Linked DNA regions of Arabidopsis thaliana. The protein of the gene in region 1 interacts with the protein of each later gene in a pairwise test. Each region holds a gene or a part of one and is shown in the gene's direction. Other genes may lie near its edges.

The links. The genes of interacting proteins can lie anywhere in the genome.
Region 2: the proteins of AT2G01175 (region 1) and AT1G27190 interact in a protein complementation assay, tested with the Arabidopsis thaliana proteins (one large-scale study listed by BioGRID).
Region 3: the proteins of AT2G01175 (region 1) and FOLK interact in a protein complementation assay, tested with the Arabidopsis thaliana proteins (one large-scale study listed by BioGRID).

What each region holds. Positions count from the first base shown.
Region 1 is NC_003071.7:103,451-108,111, reverse strand, and holds AT2G01175 (uncharacterized protein), read left to right. Parts: upstream 1-1,820; 5' UTR 1,821-2,040; intron 2,041-2,316; 5' UTR 2,317-2,351; coding exon 2,352-2,540; 3' UTR 2,541-3,228; downstream 3,229-4,661. Other genes in the region: PAP1 (phosphatidic acid phosphatase 1), read left to right, coding at 1-930; BAT1 (bidirectional amino acid transporter 1), read left to right, coding at 3,650-3,750, 3,819-4,079, 4,168-4,186, 4,270-4,489, 4,569-4,661.
Region 2 is NC_003070.9:9,445,780-9,451,631, reverse strand, and holds AT1G27190 (Leucine-rich repeat protein kinase family protein), read left to right. Parts: upstream 1-2,585; 5' UTR 2,586-2,903; coding exon 2,904-4,709; 3' UTR 4,710-5,035; downstream 5,036-5,852. Other genes in the region: AT1G27200 (glycosyltransferase family protein (DUF23)), read left to right, coding at 93-1,820; AT1G27180 (disease resistance protein (TIR-NBS-LRR class)), read right to left, coding at 5,814-5,852.
Region 3 is NC_003076.8:23,668,080-23,673,694, forward strand, and holds FOLK (Phosphatidate cytidylyltransferase family protein), read left to right. Parts: upstream 1-2,187; 5' UTR 2,188-2,433; coding exon 2,434-2,748; intron 2,749-3,551; coding exon 3,552-3,619; intron 3,620-3,705; coding exon 3,706-3,837; intron 3,838-3,976; coding exon 3,977-4,092; intron 4,093-4,198; coding exon 4,199-4,491; 3' UTR 4,492-4,790; downstream 4,791-5,615. Other genes in the region: EOL2 (ETO1-like 2), read right to left, coding at 1-395; AT5G58570 (uncharacterized protein), read right to left, coding at 4,791-5,051. UniProt on the Arabidopsis thaliana protein: Kinase involved in negative regulation of abscisic acid (ABA) signaling. Substrate preference is farnesol > geraniol > geranylgeraniol, but has no activity with farnesyl phosphate. Can use CTP > ATP > GTP = UTP as phosphoryl donor.

The sequences.
Region 1 (4,661 bases):
CAGGAGGCGCAGAGAGGGAGGATGCAGGAGATAGATCTTAGTGTTCACACTATAAAGTCCCATGGAGGAAGAGTCGCTTCTAAACACAAGCACGATTGGATCATACTCGTCATCTTGATTGCCATCGAGATAGGCTTGAACCTCATCTCTCCTTTCTACCGCTACGTGGGAAAAGACATGATGACTGACCTCAAGTACCCTTTCAAGGACAACACCGTACCTATCTGGTCTGTCCCTGTGTACGCTGTGCTTCTTCCCATCATAGTGTTCGTCTGCTTCTACCTGAAGAGGACATGTGTGTACGATCTGCACCACAGCATCCTCGGGCTGCTCTTCGCCGTCTTGATAACTGGTGTCATCACTGACTCCATCAAGGTAGCCACCGGACGCCCTCGTCCTAACTTCTACTGGCGCTGCTTCCCCGACGGCAAAGAGCTGTATGATGCGTTGGGAGGTGTGGTATGCCACGGCAAGGCAGCTGAGGTCAAGGAAGGCCACAAGAGCTTCCCGAGCGGACACACTTCCTGGTCCTTTGCGGGGCTTACATTCCTTTCCCTTTACCTCTCTGGCAAAATCAAGGCCTTCAACAATGAAGGACATGTGGCGAAACTCTGCCTCGTGATCTTCCCTCTGCTTGCCGCTTGTCTTGTGGGGATATCTCGTGTGGATGACTACTGGCACCACTGGCAAGATGTCTTCGCAGGAGCTCTCATTGGCACCCTTGTAGCCGCCTTCTGCTACCGTCAGTTCTACCCCAACCCTTACCACGAAGAAGGATGGGGTCCCTACGCCTATTTCAAGGCAGCTCAAGAACGAGGAGTCCCTGTGACCTCCTCCCAAAACGGAGATGCCTTGAGGGCTATGTCTCTGCAGATGGATTCAACATCTCTCGAAAACATGGAATCTGGCACTTCCACCGCTCCCAGATGATCCTCCTCTCTTATTATTTGATTCATTATTTGGTTTTTCATTTTGATTTGGCCGTCGTCGTGAGATTGTGAATGGTGTAGCTACATACTGTATGTGTATTCAAAACTCTACTTGTACCATTACATTTTTGTAAATCCACTCTTCATGAAATTGACGTTTTTCTGGTGTCCGAGAGGCTTGGGTCGCTCGAATAATCTCGTCCAATAGACTAATACGGCTCTAGTGAACACGGTATTTACATGTTTGTGATCTAAACTGAAATCAGTTATTTCTTAATTCGTAATCATTCTTGGGTTAACATTTTCTCTTATAATCTGATGGTTGAAGATGGCAAAGCCATTGTTAGCATAGCCATAGCTGGTTCAATCATCCACAACACTAAATTACTCGAGCTCTCCACATGCGTAATCTCTCTTTCTCTCTATTTCTCCCTTCGTTTCTCTCATTCTTCTTCTTCTTTTAATTTCTGGGTAGCTATTATTTTAGTGTAGAACAAAGTTTGACACTTGTGCTTACGCACATGCGCTGCCAACTATGCTGCAGGTATTAAATCAGTTCTGAAAATATTGAAGCACAACTGGAAACCGTTTCTTTTGTGCACTCAAGATATTAAAATGGTTCTCTGTTTCTGAAAATATTGGAACAGAACTGAAAACTGTGTTTTTGTCATGCTAGCGTATTGTTATATTGTGTTTTATTGAGCAAATGATGATACTAGCAATTCAAATTTCATCTCTTCTCTTTGTTATTATGAATTTCATGCTTGTATTGGAAGACATTATTTTGCAAAAATTTGATTTTTGTTTACTCAAGGACCCATTGTTTCTTAACCATTGGAGTAGAAATTTGTTAAAGACTCTTATTAGTTTCTTAACTTACAAAAAGCAAAATTTTAATAAAAAAAAAAAAGTTAAGGATCATGGTTAAGGACCTAACCAATGGGGATGGTCTTAGCTTCTGATCTCACTGGTCTTTGTTCGATTGAATCAATCCAAGTTTCGTAAGTGGTGATGGTAGGTAATCGGAGCAGCAGCGCATGTAACCATCGGCAGTTGTCGAAAGCTTGTATAGTCACATACCTCCCTCATCGTCTCTTCTCAGTGTCGCCAGGTAAATCTTCTCAATCGTTTCTTTTGTATATTACTCATAGAGTCGTGCGCTGTCTCTCCCTGAGAAGGTTCAATCGATTTCTTCCGATTGATGATTGATGTATCATAATCAGAACAAAGGTTATATTTCTGAATTGGATGTGTCTCTGAAATTATAGCGGATGTTGTATGTATGGGAACACAAGAGACCAATGATGATGCTAATGTTTGATTGTCATCATTGATTAAGTGAACTAATCAAGCAGAACCATGATTTGTTTTACTTTGTTGGTGCTAGTGGTTTGGGGCTATCTCTGTTTCTAATTCGTATATATGTTATGGAGGTTAAGAGGACTCTTCAAGCTTTATGGGCACTTGGGTTTCTTGGTTCTTTGGCTACTTGTGCAGCCCTTGCTAGACCAGCCGGTGATAACTTGGTTCATTATGTCGTTGATCATCCATCTGCTGTTTGGTTTGTTGGTCCCCTTTTTCAAAGAAGGTAAATATCTTGCTTCTGCATAAGGCTTCAGATAATGATTTATTGTTCTTAATCAATGAGCATATATGATTTATGTTTGTGGTCTACGAAATTAGTGTATTTTTAGATGTGTTATGTAATGTTGAACAACATCACTAGATTTGTTTTGTGTGTCTCATGTTAGAGGATTTTTGGCTTCGGTTTGTTTGTTTCTTTCTTCTGAAACACTTTTGTGTCAAGTCTTTAATCTTCTCTGTCTCTCTAATGTTATGAAGAAGGAGAGTTCAAAGATTGTGGTTATATAATGTTTTAGCATTACGAGTGGTTAACAAGAGTTAGTTAATGTGTTATAAATTCTGTTGCACGGATGAGAGTCTGATAAAATGGAATTCAAATCAGAGAAACCAGGTTCAGTTTTTCCTCTCAATATTGCATCAAATCTTTTTTAGTTTGTTTTGGATAGCAAATCTTTGATTGTTAGTCTCGAGACTAACATGATTTTGTGGATCGTGGTAACATAACCACAAAGTTGTCTATTTTATGATTTGAACATTCTACACAGTCATCCTCATCAGTGGCAAATTAACCAGGTTTGTGTATCAAAGAGTAGGCCATGTTCTGAGTATCTTCAAGAAGAGGATGATGTTTTTTTGTATAGTTTTTGTCTTTGATATGTTTTCAAATGAATCTTGTATACTTTGTCATATTTATTGTCATGAATCTTTGTTATTCAAAATGTGTTTATCAAAAATGTATCAAATTTTTTGTATAGTTTGTCTTCTCTATCTTTCTTTTCAAGCAATCTAAACTCAAATACCAAAATATTTTTTCAAATTTGTCTTTCTTAAGAATTCCTACTATTGGACATGAATATTTTTGAGAGTCCCTAAGCTAGTCCTTAGCTTTATATTTGTCAAAATTTATATTAGAAAATTCTTAAGGATTCCTTAAGGATCTTAACCATTGGGGTTGCTTATTAGTTTTTTTATATTACTTGAATTACATATTTATTTAGTTTAAAGAATAAATAATAATAAAAAGACAGTTTGGAGGGGTATGTAAAAAGTAATATAACAGAAAAATAAATATCTTGTCTGAATCAGAGAGAGAGCTCTCAACAACCAAAGCTTTGGACTCTCAGGCCAGGAAGACTATGGGATTGGGCGGCGATCAATCCTTTGTTCCCGTCATGGATTCCGGCCAAGTCCGCCTCAAGGAGCTCGGCTACAAGCAAGAGCTCAAGCGCGATCTCTCGTCTGTCTCCGCCACTCTTTCCTTTTTCTTCTTTGATTTGTGTTAGCTAAACAATTGTTAGATTTCAGGGTCTTCTCCAATTTCGCCATCTCCTTCTCCATCATATCGGTGCTCACTGGTATCACCACCACCTACAACACCGGCTTAAGATTCGGCGGCACTGTCACTCTGGTCTACGGATGGTTCCTGGCCGGCTCCTTCACAATGTGCGTTGGGTTATCTATGGCCGAGATCTGCTCCTCTTACCCTACCTCCGGTGGTCTCTACTACTGGAGTGCTATGCTCGCTGGCCCTCGTTGGGCTCCTCTTGCCTCTTGGATGACTGGCTGGTACTCCCTTCTCTCACCTTTTTCTTAATTTGGAATTGGAAGCAAGAGAGCGTCTCTCTCTGACTCATTTTCACAAATCTTTTTTCAGGTTCAACATCGTTGGTCAGGTGCAACATTCATTCAAGCAGACTTGTTTTCATTAGATATATCTCTCATTGGGGCTAAAAGTAAGGTTGTGGTGTGTTTGCAGTGGGCAGTGACGGCCAGCGTTGACTTCTCTCTGGCACAGTTGATTCAGGTGATCGTCCTTCTCTCCACCGGCGGTAGAAACGGCGGCGGTTATAAAGGATCAGACTTTGTTGTGATTGGTATCCATGGTGGGATCCTCTTCATCCACGCTCTTCTCAACAGCCTCCCCATCTCCGTCTTGTCTTTCATTGGACAGCTTGCTGCTCTTTGGAATCTCCTCGGTACCCAATCTCTCTTTTGTCTCTGTGTTTCATGTCATGTCTCAACAACAATCATCAATCAAGCATCTCTTATATTCAGGGGTTTTGGTGCTCATGATTCTGATTCCTTTGGTTTCTACGGAAAGAGCAACCACTAAGTTTGTCTTTACCAATTTCAACACTGATAATGGCC
Region 2 (5,852 bases), on another chromosome or scaffold:
AAACCTTCTCTAGATCAGTTTATTAAGCAACCACCCTTTTGCTCTGTTTCTAACAAACCAGAAGAAGAAAAAAGTTTCAATTTTTCTTGAAGATGACGGAGTATGAGAATGGGAAGAAGAGGAAAGTACGAAACAAACAACAAGTAAAAGTACAGTTCTTGTCTCAAAGGTATCTAATCTTATGCTTTTGTTGTTTCTTCGTCTTGCTCTTCTTCTTATCTTCCGACCGAATCTCCACACTCTCTGTTCGTTCCGATTCTCTGAGACCGTCTCTTCGTGTTCCTACTCTCTCCGTTTTATCATCATCCATGGATTCGTTTCACCGTGGTAGATTCCCTCCGTTGAGTGTTGAAGACAGAGTTCAATTCCCTGACCATTTATTGCTGATTCTTTCGCACGGAATTGGGAAAGGTGAAAAAAACCTAGTTTGTGTTTATCGTGGAGTAAAGGAAGAGACTTTGGTGTTGCCCTCGATTTCTAGTGATGAATTCGATGAGTTTAGGTCGATTGTTCGATGTCCTAATGCTCCTTTGAACTATTCTTCATCTGTTGATTTGCAATTCCGTGGAGATTTGGTGAAGAAGAAGATGAAGAAACAGAGCCGTCGTGTTCATAATTGGGAAAAGGTTGGTTATGAGGCGGTGATTGACGGCGACACGGTGGTTGTGTTTGTTAAAGGATTGACTCGAAGACCTCACAAGGAATCAGATCCTTCTTACTATAAGTGTCAATTTGAGATTGAGAATTCGGAGGAGAAAGAGGTGACTCAAGCTATTGCTGCTGCGCAAGAAGTTGTGAGGTGTGGTTTGCCTGAGAGTTTGAAGCTAAATCCAGAGATGATGTTTCGAGTGAGTGTAATTCACATTGATCCTAGAGGAAGAACTACCCCTGCTCTGCCTTCGGTTGCGAGAATCTACGGTTCTGATTCGATTGAGAAGAAGGAGAAGAAGAGTGGAGTTAAGCATGAGCTTTGTGTTTGTACAATGTTATGGAACCAAGCTCCGTTCTTGCGTGAATGGATCATGTATCACTCGTGGCTCGGTGTCGAACGTTGGTTTATATATGATAACAACAGCGATGATGGTATACAAGAGGAGATTGAGTTGCTTAGTTCGGAGAATTACAATGTGAGTCGACATGTTTGGCCTTGGATCAAGACTCAAGAAGCCGGTTTTTCGCATTGTGCGGTTAGAGCGAAAGAAGAATGCAATTGGGTTGGATTCTTCGATGTCGACGAGTTCTACTACTTCCCTACGCATCGCTCTCAAGGCTTACCGAGCAAAAACGCTTTGAAGTCGCTTGTATCGAACTACACTTCTTGGGATTTGGTTGGAGAGATCAGAACGGACTGTCATAGCTACGGTCCATCCGGTCTGACCTCGGTTCCATCACAAGGCGTGACCGTAGGTTACACTTGTAGACAAGCGAACCCCGAGAGACACAAGTCGATAATCCGCCCTGAGTTGCTCACAAGCTCATTGCTCAATGAAGTACATCATTTTCAGTTGAAAGAAGGAGTGGGGCATATGAGTTTGGTGGAGAGTGTTGCGGTAGTGAACCATTACAAGTACCAAGTTTGGGACACTTTCAAAGCTAAGTTTTACAGAAGAGTGGCTACTTATGTTGTTGACTGGCAAGAGAATCAGAATCAAGGGTCTAAAGATCGAGCTCCAGGGCTCGGGACAGAGGCAATCGAGCCGCCGGATTGGAAACGACGGTTCTGTGAAGTGTGGGACACTGGATTGAAGGATTTGGTTATGTCGAATTTTGCTGATCAAGTGACTGGTTATCTGCCGTGGCAGAGGCAACAACAAGAATGACTTTTAGTTGGTTTCTGATTCAGCAGCAGGTGTACATTTTATTTACATTTGACAAGGATACATACAAAATCTACATCAATATTTCTTTCTTTTGTTACTTACATTTTTTTTTTGGTTTTGTTGATTGGTGGGGGATAAAGTTGGCTTATAATATCTTTTGTTTCTTAGAGTTTACCACATGTAAATTTCGGTAACACTGCTAAATCCCTTTTTTTTTGTTTTTCTTTCTTGTTCTTATATGAATGGAAGTGAAAGATTTCAAGAACGAAATTTGTAGTAGTAGTACTTAGGTTTCGAGTTAGAATCTCAGATGAAATGTTTAAATATTACAAACGGTTGGTCTCGAGGCAATGAAGATTATGGGCCTAAAGTCATGAAACCCATGAGCTGAAATGTAAGTTAATGCTGTGAAAGCCCATGGGCCAAAACACATTTTTGTTCAAGTAATGTCTTTTTTTGTTTCCTCAGTTCTAGTAATAATGTCTTCTGTTTTAAAAAAATAAAATATTTTTGTCTTTTTCTTTATAACAAGTTCAAAACTCTTGTGACTTATTATTATTAGTTTATTACCAGCCAACCAACCTTTCATACAAAAAGAATCCCATTTAAGTCACATTATATCAATATCAATAGAGGAAGAATTTAATTTTGATTAAATTGATACGTTAGAGTTAAAGAATCATGGTTCTAAAATTCCATGTCTGATTTTAGGCAAACCTATCAATACAAGAAATGAAAAAAAAATCTTCACCCAAAAGTGTTATCCTTTTTGAAAAATTAGCTTTCCCTTTCAATTGTAACATGTAGTAGTAGACTAGACTGACTTGTATATATCCTCTGCTTCTCTCAGACTTGCTTTTCCAACGGTGTCGTTTTGTAAGAAGATTCTTTTTCCCCAAACAAAAGATAAATACTAATTTCCACTAAGTTACTAAAAAAAAAAAAGAGTCAAAAGAGCAACAAAAAAAAAAAGTTTCTCATCTTTTCTCAACAGTATCACACAGTCAATGACCATTCTTCTTCCGCCATAGAAGCTCTCTCTGCTTTTTAACCTAAGAAGAAGAACTAGATCCATCCTTAATCATGAAGAAGATCTTCATCACACTCTTATGGCTTCTCTTCATAAGCTCGTTTCTCTGTTCTTCTTCTTCAGCTGAAGACGACGTTCTCTGTCTCCAAGGTTTGAAAAACTCACTCATCGATCCTTCTTCTAGACTCAGTTCCTGGTCTTTCCCAAACTCTTCAGCTTCTTCGATTTGTAAGCTCACTGGTGTTTCCTGCTGGAACGAGAAAGAGAATCGGATTATTTCTCTTCAGCTTCAATCGATGCAGCTCGCCGGTGAGATTCCTGAGTCTCTTAAGCTTTGTCGTAGTTTACAATCTCTGGATCTCTCTGGAAACGATCTCTCTGGTTCGATTCCTTCTCAAATCTGTTCGTGGCTTCCTTATCTCGTTACGTTAGATCTGTCTGGGAATAAGCTTGGTGGTTCGATTCCGACTCAGATCGTTGAGTGTAAGTTCTTAAACGCTTTGATTCTGAGTGATAATAAGCTTTCTGGTTCGATTCCTTCTCAGTTGAGTCGATTAGATCGCCTTCGACGTCTTTCTCTAGCAGGGAATGATCTCTCCGGTACGATTCCGTCCGAGCTGGCTCGGTTCGGAGGAGACGATTTTAGCGGGAATAACGGACTTTGTGGGAAGCCTTTATCGCGATGTGGAGCGTTGAATGGGAGAAATCTGAGTATTATTATAGTTGCTGGAGTTCTTGGAGCTGTTGGATCTTTGTGCGTTGGTTTAGTTATATTCTGGTGGTTCTTTATTAGAGAAGGTAGTAGGAAGAAGAAAGGTTATGGTGCTGGGAAGTCTAAGGATGATAGTGATTGGATTGGTTTGTTGAGGTCACATAAGCTTGTTCAGGTGACTTTGTTTCAGAAACCTATTGTGAAGATTAAATTGGGTGATTTAATGGCTGCTACGAACAATTTTAGTTCAGGGAATATCGATGTTTCGTCGAGGACTGGGGTTTCGTATAAAGCGGATTTACCTGATGGGTCTGCACTTGCGGTGAAGAGGCTTAGTGCTTGTGGGTTTGGTGAGAAACAGTTTAGGTCGGAGATGAATAAGTTAGGAGAGCTTAGACATCCGAATTTGGTGCCGCTTTTAGGGTATTGTGTTGTGGAAGATGAGAGACTGTTGGTGTATAAGCATATGGTTAATGGTACGTTGTTTTCTCAGTTGCACAATGGTGGATTGTGTGATGCTGTTTTGGATTGGCCGACTCGGCGTGCGATTGGTGTGGGAGCTGCTAAAGGGTTAGCTTGGTTGCATCATGGATGCCAACCGCCGTATTTGCATCAGTTTATTAGCTCCAATGTTATACTTCTTGATGATGATTTTGATGCTCGGATAACAGATTACGGATTGGCAAAGCTAGTTGGATCTCGTGATTCGAACGATAGCTCGTTCAATAATGGGGATTTGGGGGAGTTAGGTTATGTAGCGCCTGAGTATTCGAGCACCATGGTTGCGTCTTTGAAAGGAGATGTGTATGGGTTTGGGATTGTGCTTCTTGAATTGGTTACAGGGCAAAAGCCTTTGTCTGTTATTAACGGTGTGGAAGGGTTTAAAGGGAGTTTAGTTGACTGGGTGAGTCAGTATTTGGGTACTGGTAGAAGCAAAGACGCTATTGATAGAAGCATATGTGATAAAGGACACGATGAGGAGATATTGCAGTTCCTGAAAATCGCATGTAGCTGTGTTGTGTCCAGGCCTAAGGAAAGGCCAACGATGATTCAGGTGTATGAATCTTTGAAGAACATGGCAGATAAACACGGTGTTTCGGAGCATTACGATGAATTTCCTCTGGTCTTCAACAAACAAGAAGCTTGAGTATCTTTACCAGAAAGTAGTCTTTTTTGGCAGCTTAAGCGCTAAGAAGGTATGAGAAATCTACTTTTGTATCAGAAGCTTTTTTTTTTTTACTTTATATCTCATTCTTTGTTCCTTCCCTCAGTGTTGTTAGTTTTTAACCGTGTCAGTGCTCGTGTTTGTCTTGTATCTCCTACCGTATAATTCTGTACATTCGTTTGGGTCATTAATGTACTCTTTGGAATGTAACCTCTTCTGATGAAATGAGAAGATTTCAGTCTTATTTCAAGCTCTCCTATAGTTTGGCATTTGGTTTAATTTCTTAGGTTCGTAACGGCTCTATGCCTTGGAGTTGAATCATTTGAAGAATGTTTATTTGTCTGTTGATTTTATCTTTTGAAGTAATGTCTTTGATAGTCAAAAAGGTCAATGCGTAATTTGGTGTGTTGTGATATCTTTTGGATGAGATGTGGGGTTTGGTCTTATAATAAAGACAATAGAGTTAAAAGAAACCGATATGTTGGAGGCAGATGTAGAGATGTCTGCGTCTCGCTTGGCCATAGACACATGAACTTCGACCCCACTTCTCAATAATGCTTGCTATCGTCTTGTCAACATTTCCTTTCACAATTTGTTACTTTCTTCTTTGTTACTACTGTTACAAGTTGTGAAAGTCATTTTTTGTATCGAGTGACTTAAATGTCAATTCAGCATACACTTATTGTATCGAGCAGGACACTTGGACTCTCGGTTTTATGTAAAGCTTCATCTGCTACAATGGAAACAGTAAATATATGAAAACTTGTTGGAGAATGAGAAATAGAACAAACACACTTTAGGTCTTTAGCAGATAAAATACCTTGATCATAGAAGTCTTTGGATTTGTTAACCAAGTCTTCACAAATTTTGTGAACATTCTACAAAATTGCACAGAATTGTGGGAAACAAGAGTCTCCTCTTTTTGGGTTTTTATTGATTATAGAAGCAACGGTATAAACTGTAAAAAAACAACTAAACATCCTAGAAAGAAAAAACTTACAGAAGCACACACGCTATATGATCAACAAACAGCTTGTATGGAAAGAATGTTTTTGTGCAGTTTCTTAACTTCTCTGTGGTAGCAGATCATGCAACAGTGGAATCACCTTTTGCGCTGGCTTCACC
Region 3 (5,615 bases), on another chromosome or scaffold:
GAGAAAACAACCTTACAAGGGACATCAATGGCGTGCCTCCTAGCGTTGAGAAGGCACCTACGCAAGAGCTTGGCATCACCGAGACTGCGGAGAACAGCGTACTGCTCAAGGTAGAGCATCGATGCCTCGGATTCCGAACTGGACTCGATTCTCCGATATAGATTTGATAATGACTCCACCAAATCGATAGGTTTGAGGTAAGAGTCCAAGGGAGGCTCGAGGAGGTCTGTGGTGGGAAAGCCATGAGGGAGAAGTGAACGAGATTTGGATTTGGGATGCCCAAGGAACTTCATCATTCGAGGGCTACCATTGCTGCTTGTAGAGGGAGAGTCTTGTGTAGTAAAGGCGTGGACTTGAGTGCTTTTAAATCTCTCAAAGAGTTTGAGATTGCGCATTTTGCTATATCACAGAAATCTGAGAAAAGGGTTTGATTTTGAAGTAAAGAGAGAGTGAGGGAGACGGAGAGAGCAAGAGAGAGAGAGAGAGAGAGAGAGAGAGAGAGAGAGAGAGAGAGAGAGAGTTGAAAACACAAGCTCTGTCTCCGGTGACAACACACAGTGCAGAGACAAAAAGGAGAGAGAGAGAGAGAGGAAGAAGAAGACGATGAAGTGTGATTGAGAATATAAATTATTTTTATAAAAAGGTCAATAATTTGGGGAGAAAAAAGAGTAATGGCGTCGATTTTTGCAAACCCAAAAAACATTTATATGGAAAAAAAATGGTCGAATCTCATATCTGTTTTTCTTTCTTTTATGCATTTTTTTGTGGAACAGTTTACGAACTTCAACAGTTGGTGGTTCTTATTGGGTGCGATACGAACCAGACCACTTTCCTTTCTCTTTCCTTTTTGTGTAAAGACCACTTTCCTTTTTTAAAACAATATTTTGTTTCTGTTTTTTTGGTGAGGAAATATTTTGTTTCTTTGTTAAATTGTTATTTTTTTCCATATTTGAAGATATTGGTATGGCTTTTAATTTGTGAAAATTTGGGTTTATTACAGAGTTATATGATGATTAAATATAGTTTAGAGAATTATAGATGGTTGGTTCGTTTCGGGTATAATTAAAATAAGCCTCTCTGACTATCCAACGTCATTGATTCATGTGATGCCAAGATAGGTAGGTTAACTAGTTATGTGGTTTCTTATCGGTTATCTCCTATCTAAACAATTGAGCTTAACATTAAACTTTGAAGATATTAACTTATCTCTCTAATGAACGAAAAAAATTCAGTTTTATTGGTTGATTGGTTATGATTTCAATGACTAACAAAGAAATGGTCTTTAATTTATGTACAGCATGAATTTACTCAATTTATTACATACAACATGATTTCAAAAAATTGCTTAAAATTTTGCAAAACATTTCTTTACTGTGATCACACTAATCATTTGTTAATCTGGTGTCTACTTTTTTACTCGCTAACGTGAGCGTGTATATTTATATTTTCTGAGATCTTCATAGTTTTAGGTTTTTAGCTTGTAGTTAGTTTTTTTTGTTCTCGATATTGGACCAACAACTATCAGGAAACGCATAATTTATTATATATATAAAAAACTCTCATAAAACGTACTGTATTAAAACAATAACAAATAAAAAGTGGAGAGAACTATATCCAGAACCAATTCTGATGTTCTTTTGCCCGCACACCTGGAAAACACATGCAAGTGTACTCTTTAAAGATAAACATATATACCATTTGCGAAATAATTGAGGATTTTTTTTCTTTTGCCAACAGATAAATAATATAAGATTGTTTCAGAAAAAAAATAAAGATGGATAATTGAGGATTAGGTTGGCATTATTTGATGCAAAAAATACTAAAGAAAATCTCACATTGAAATCAATTAAAATAATTTTCTTATGGTATATACAAGTTGATGCAAAATTGATAAAAGATTAAACAAGGCAAGAGACGTGTGGTCATGTGTCTCGGCAACCCATGTGAGGGAATCTGAATCACTTTTTTTTTTTTTTTTTTTATGTTTCTCGAATCTGAGTAGCACAATAATTGAATTGTGTTTCGTAACTAAATTAGGGATTTATTAATCATGAAAAATTATTTGATGAAATCAAATTGTGGTCCGTCTAGTTGACTTATACCAGCCCAAATTATTTAGCGAATATAAAGCCCAAACTAGGCCCACAATAACAAATTATGCGTTTCCTCAAACGAACACCACCATGTCATGAACCATTCTAGCCGAATCCAAATAGAACGAAACTAAAATTGCTTTAATCCATATGTGACCAGATAAAGTAAAACACTCCTTTTGGGGAAATAAATATCCACTTTTCACCATCTTTTTGGTAAACAATAAAACAAACCAAATTTTGTGTGCTTGAGCAACAACAACTACCAACCAGTTACTGTCAAAAAAAATAAATGAAAACGTAATCGAAGAAAAGGTCGTGTTTTCTAGTGTTGCAGAAAATGGCAACTACTAGTACTACTACAAAGCTCTCCGTTCTCTGCTGCTCTTTCATTTCATCTCCTCTCGTTGACTCTCCTCCTTCTCTCGCCTTCTTCTCTCCGATTCCACGATTCCTCACTGTCCGAATCGCGACTAGCTTTAGATCGAGCTCTAGGTTTCCGGCCACCAAAATCCGCAAGTCTTCACTCGCCGCCGTGATGTTTCCGGAAAATTCGGTTTTATCAGATGTCTGCGCGTTTGGAGTCACTAGCATCGTTGCGTTCTCGTGCCTCGGTTTCTGGGGAGAGATTGGCAAACGTGGCATCTTCGACCAGGTTTTCGATCATTCAATTCACTTAATTAAATTATACACGCGTCGATTTGTTGAATAACGTTTTTGGAATGTTGCTCGATTCTGCAATTTCTGGTTAAAGCAACTTTGGATTCAGAGTAATGGTAGTAGTAAGCTTTATCGAGTAATGGATGGCATTAATGGCGAGGATAATAAATCTTATTAGTTCAAGAAATTATAGAATGTGAATGGATACCTATTTTGGGGTGGAAGAACACTGCGATAAACAATGGGAAAGTAACCCCATATCTGGTAAATTAGTGGGAAAATTGCTCAGAACCCAATTTGGGGATGAAATTTTTTTGAAATTCGTGCGGTATAATCACAATCTCATCGTAACTTGAAGATTCAACCATATTTATGATATATATGAATTTTGTAGGTTTAAATGTTGCACAATTTCTTTGCTATACTTTGAAGGATTATTTCTTCGTATGAGTCAGTCTATACACATATTGGACATGGCTTGTTTTTTTTTCCTTTCTCTTATGTGTTTCTCCGCAGTGACTTGTTTTTCTTCAAGTAATTTGGTTAGGAGTAGAGGAATTATCTATGATTAGCAAAAATTCTATTAAACATTTTTGGTTTGGGAATACCTGTATGGCTTCAGCTACTTGATTTTGTTTCTCTGACCTTATCGTGATTAAGATATCATCTCAGAACCCATTGAATTTATAAGATCCACAGGCTGTCTGATGTAGGACTGACTCCACTTTCATGGTTTTATTGAATGAGGCATTGGTTTAACATCTGTGGTTGACATTGGTGTTATTTCTTATTTTTCAGAAACTCATCCGGAAGCTTGTGCATATAAATATTGGGCTAGTTTTTATGCTTTGCTGGCCGCTGTTCAGGTAATAATACGGAGTGAAAGGATCGATTTTGATGTACCAGCTTGCTTTTCTGCTTCACCAGTTTATTTCGATATCAATTGTTTCAGTTCTGGAATCCAAGGAGCACTTTTCGCATCTCTTGTACCTGGACTCAATATAGTAAGGATGCTATTGCTGGGGCTTGGAGTGTACCACGACGAAGGAACAATCAAGTCAATGAGCAGACATGGAGATCGCAGGTAGCTGAATCGAACAAGTGTCTGTCACAATATCCAACAATCTCTTAGCATTCTTGGTATCTATGATCAAAATTCGGTTTGTCTGTTTATTATTGCTTTTGTCACTTCACAAAGTGTCTGTAGTCGCTCTCTGCATCAGGGAACTACTTAAGGGGCCGCTTTACTATGTACTGTCAATCACATCAGCCTGCATCTACTATTGGAAATCATCCCCAATCGCGATTGCGGTGATATGCAACCTTTGCGCAGGAGATGGTAAGTACAGTTAGCTCTGGTTTGATCCAATAACATTAGCAACTTTTGTCTTAGGAATTTGAATCCATTGAATGATGATTCTAATACACACACTTGCTGTTAAAAGGTATGGCTGACATTGTGGGTCGGCGGTTTGGAACAGAGAAGCTTCCTTACAACAAAAACAAATCATTTGCTGGTAGCATTGGAATGGCCACCGCCGGGTTTCTAGCATCTGTTGCGTATATGTACTACTTTGCTTCATTTGGTTACATCGAGGATAGCGGGGGAATGATTCTTCGTTTCCTCGTCATCTCTATAGCATCAGCTCTTGTGGAATCACTCCCAATAAGCACCGACATTGACGACAATCTCACCATTTCCTTAACCTCTGCCTTGGCCGGATTCTTACTCTTCTAATAATACCCTCTCGTTGTTATGTATCATCAAATAAAGGGTCGAGCTTGATTGCTGATATGGAGGTAAAACTGCATTCATTGTTCCCATCTTCTTCTGTATGTACGTATTAGTGAAACATCTCATATTGTTGTTGTCCACAAATCTTATTTTTCAGCTGCAATTGCAGTTGGGTACAATGTTGTAATGTTCTATCCATTAGTGAGACATATGATGACGAACAGTGACGCTTCTACAATTTGTAACAGATACTCTTTTGTAACAGATATTCAATACATGTTTGTTTGTTATTTGGCCTATGGCTATGTGGAAATGGATTGTTTGCTTACAACAGGTGAGGGCTTGAGTGTCCCGCTCCAGGAAGCCTCTTCTGACAGGTCGGACTGGTGACTGTAACGGCGTTTCAGACAAGGAAGCAACACGAGGAACAAGAGGAAGACGGCGAAGCTGATGACAAGAACTACCGTCAAGATCTCACCATGCATGGCGTAGTGTCTGTCTCTAGTGAAAGTAAGTCGTTCGCCATCTTCAGGACTCGAGGCCTCCACCGTAGAAGTTACCATTAGAGAGGTAATCTCAAATATTCTCAAATCTCAACTCCTTTGCTCATACCTACTTCATACTGTCATGCATCATCTTGGAGGGATTTGTGTCTGTTTCTTTTTCCTCTCTGAAATATAAATTTGACTTGGGAGAATATGTATCAAATGAAAACAATATGTCACCACAGAAGAAAAGAAGAGTTTAAATATATTTCTTTGGGATAATTTAGTAGATGGATTTTTGTATAAAGGTTGGTGTAGAAAGTGAGACTGGGACGTTCGTTAGTGATTGCTCTCTACATATGGGGCGTTGGATTGGGTCTTTTTGGATCTTACGTGCGACGTCGTTTTCGTAATTTGAAGAAAATCCTTTTCGTGTGGCTCCCATAACCGACTCCGTGACTTTCCCGGAAATTTCCTCAAGAGAGAAGCGACCTTGTGTCTCATGTTAGTTGCTTCTTCTTCTGCCCTTATTTATATGAATACAAAAATTAATTACTCTTTGATTTGGCCCATTTAAAATTGCTAACTTCTTCACGCATTCTCGAAATAGAAGAAAACGTGGTATGCTTGTATTAATTGAAT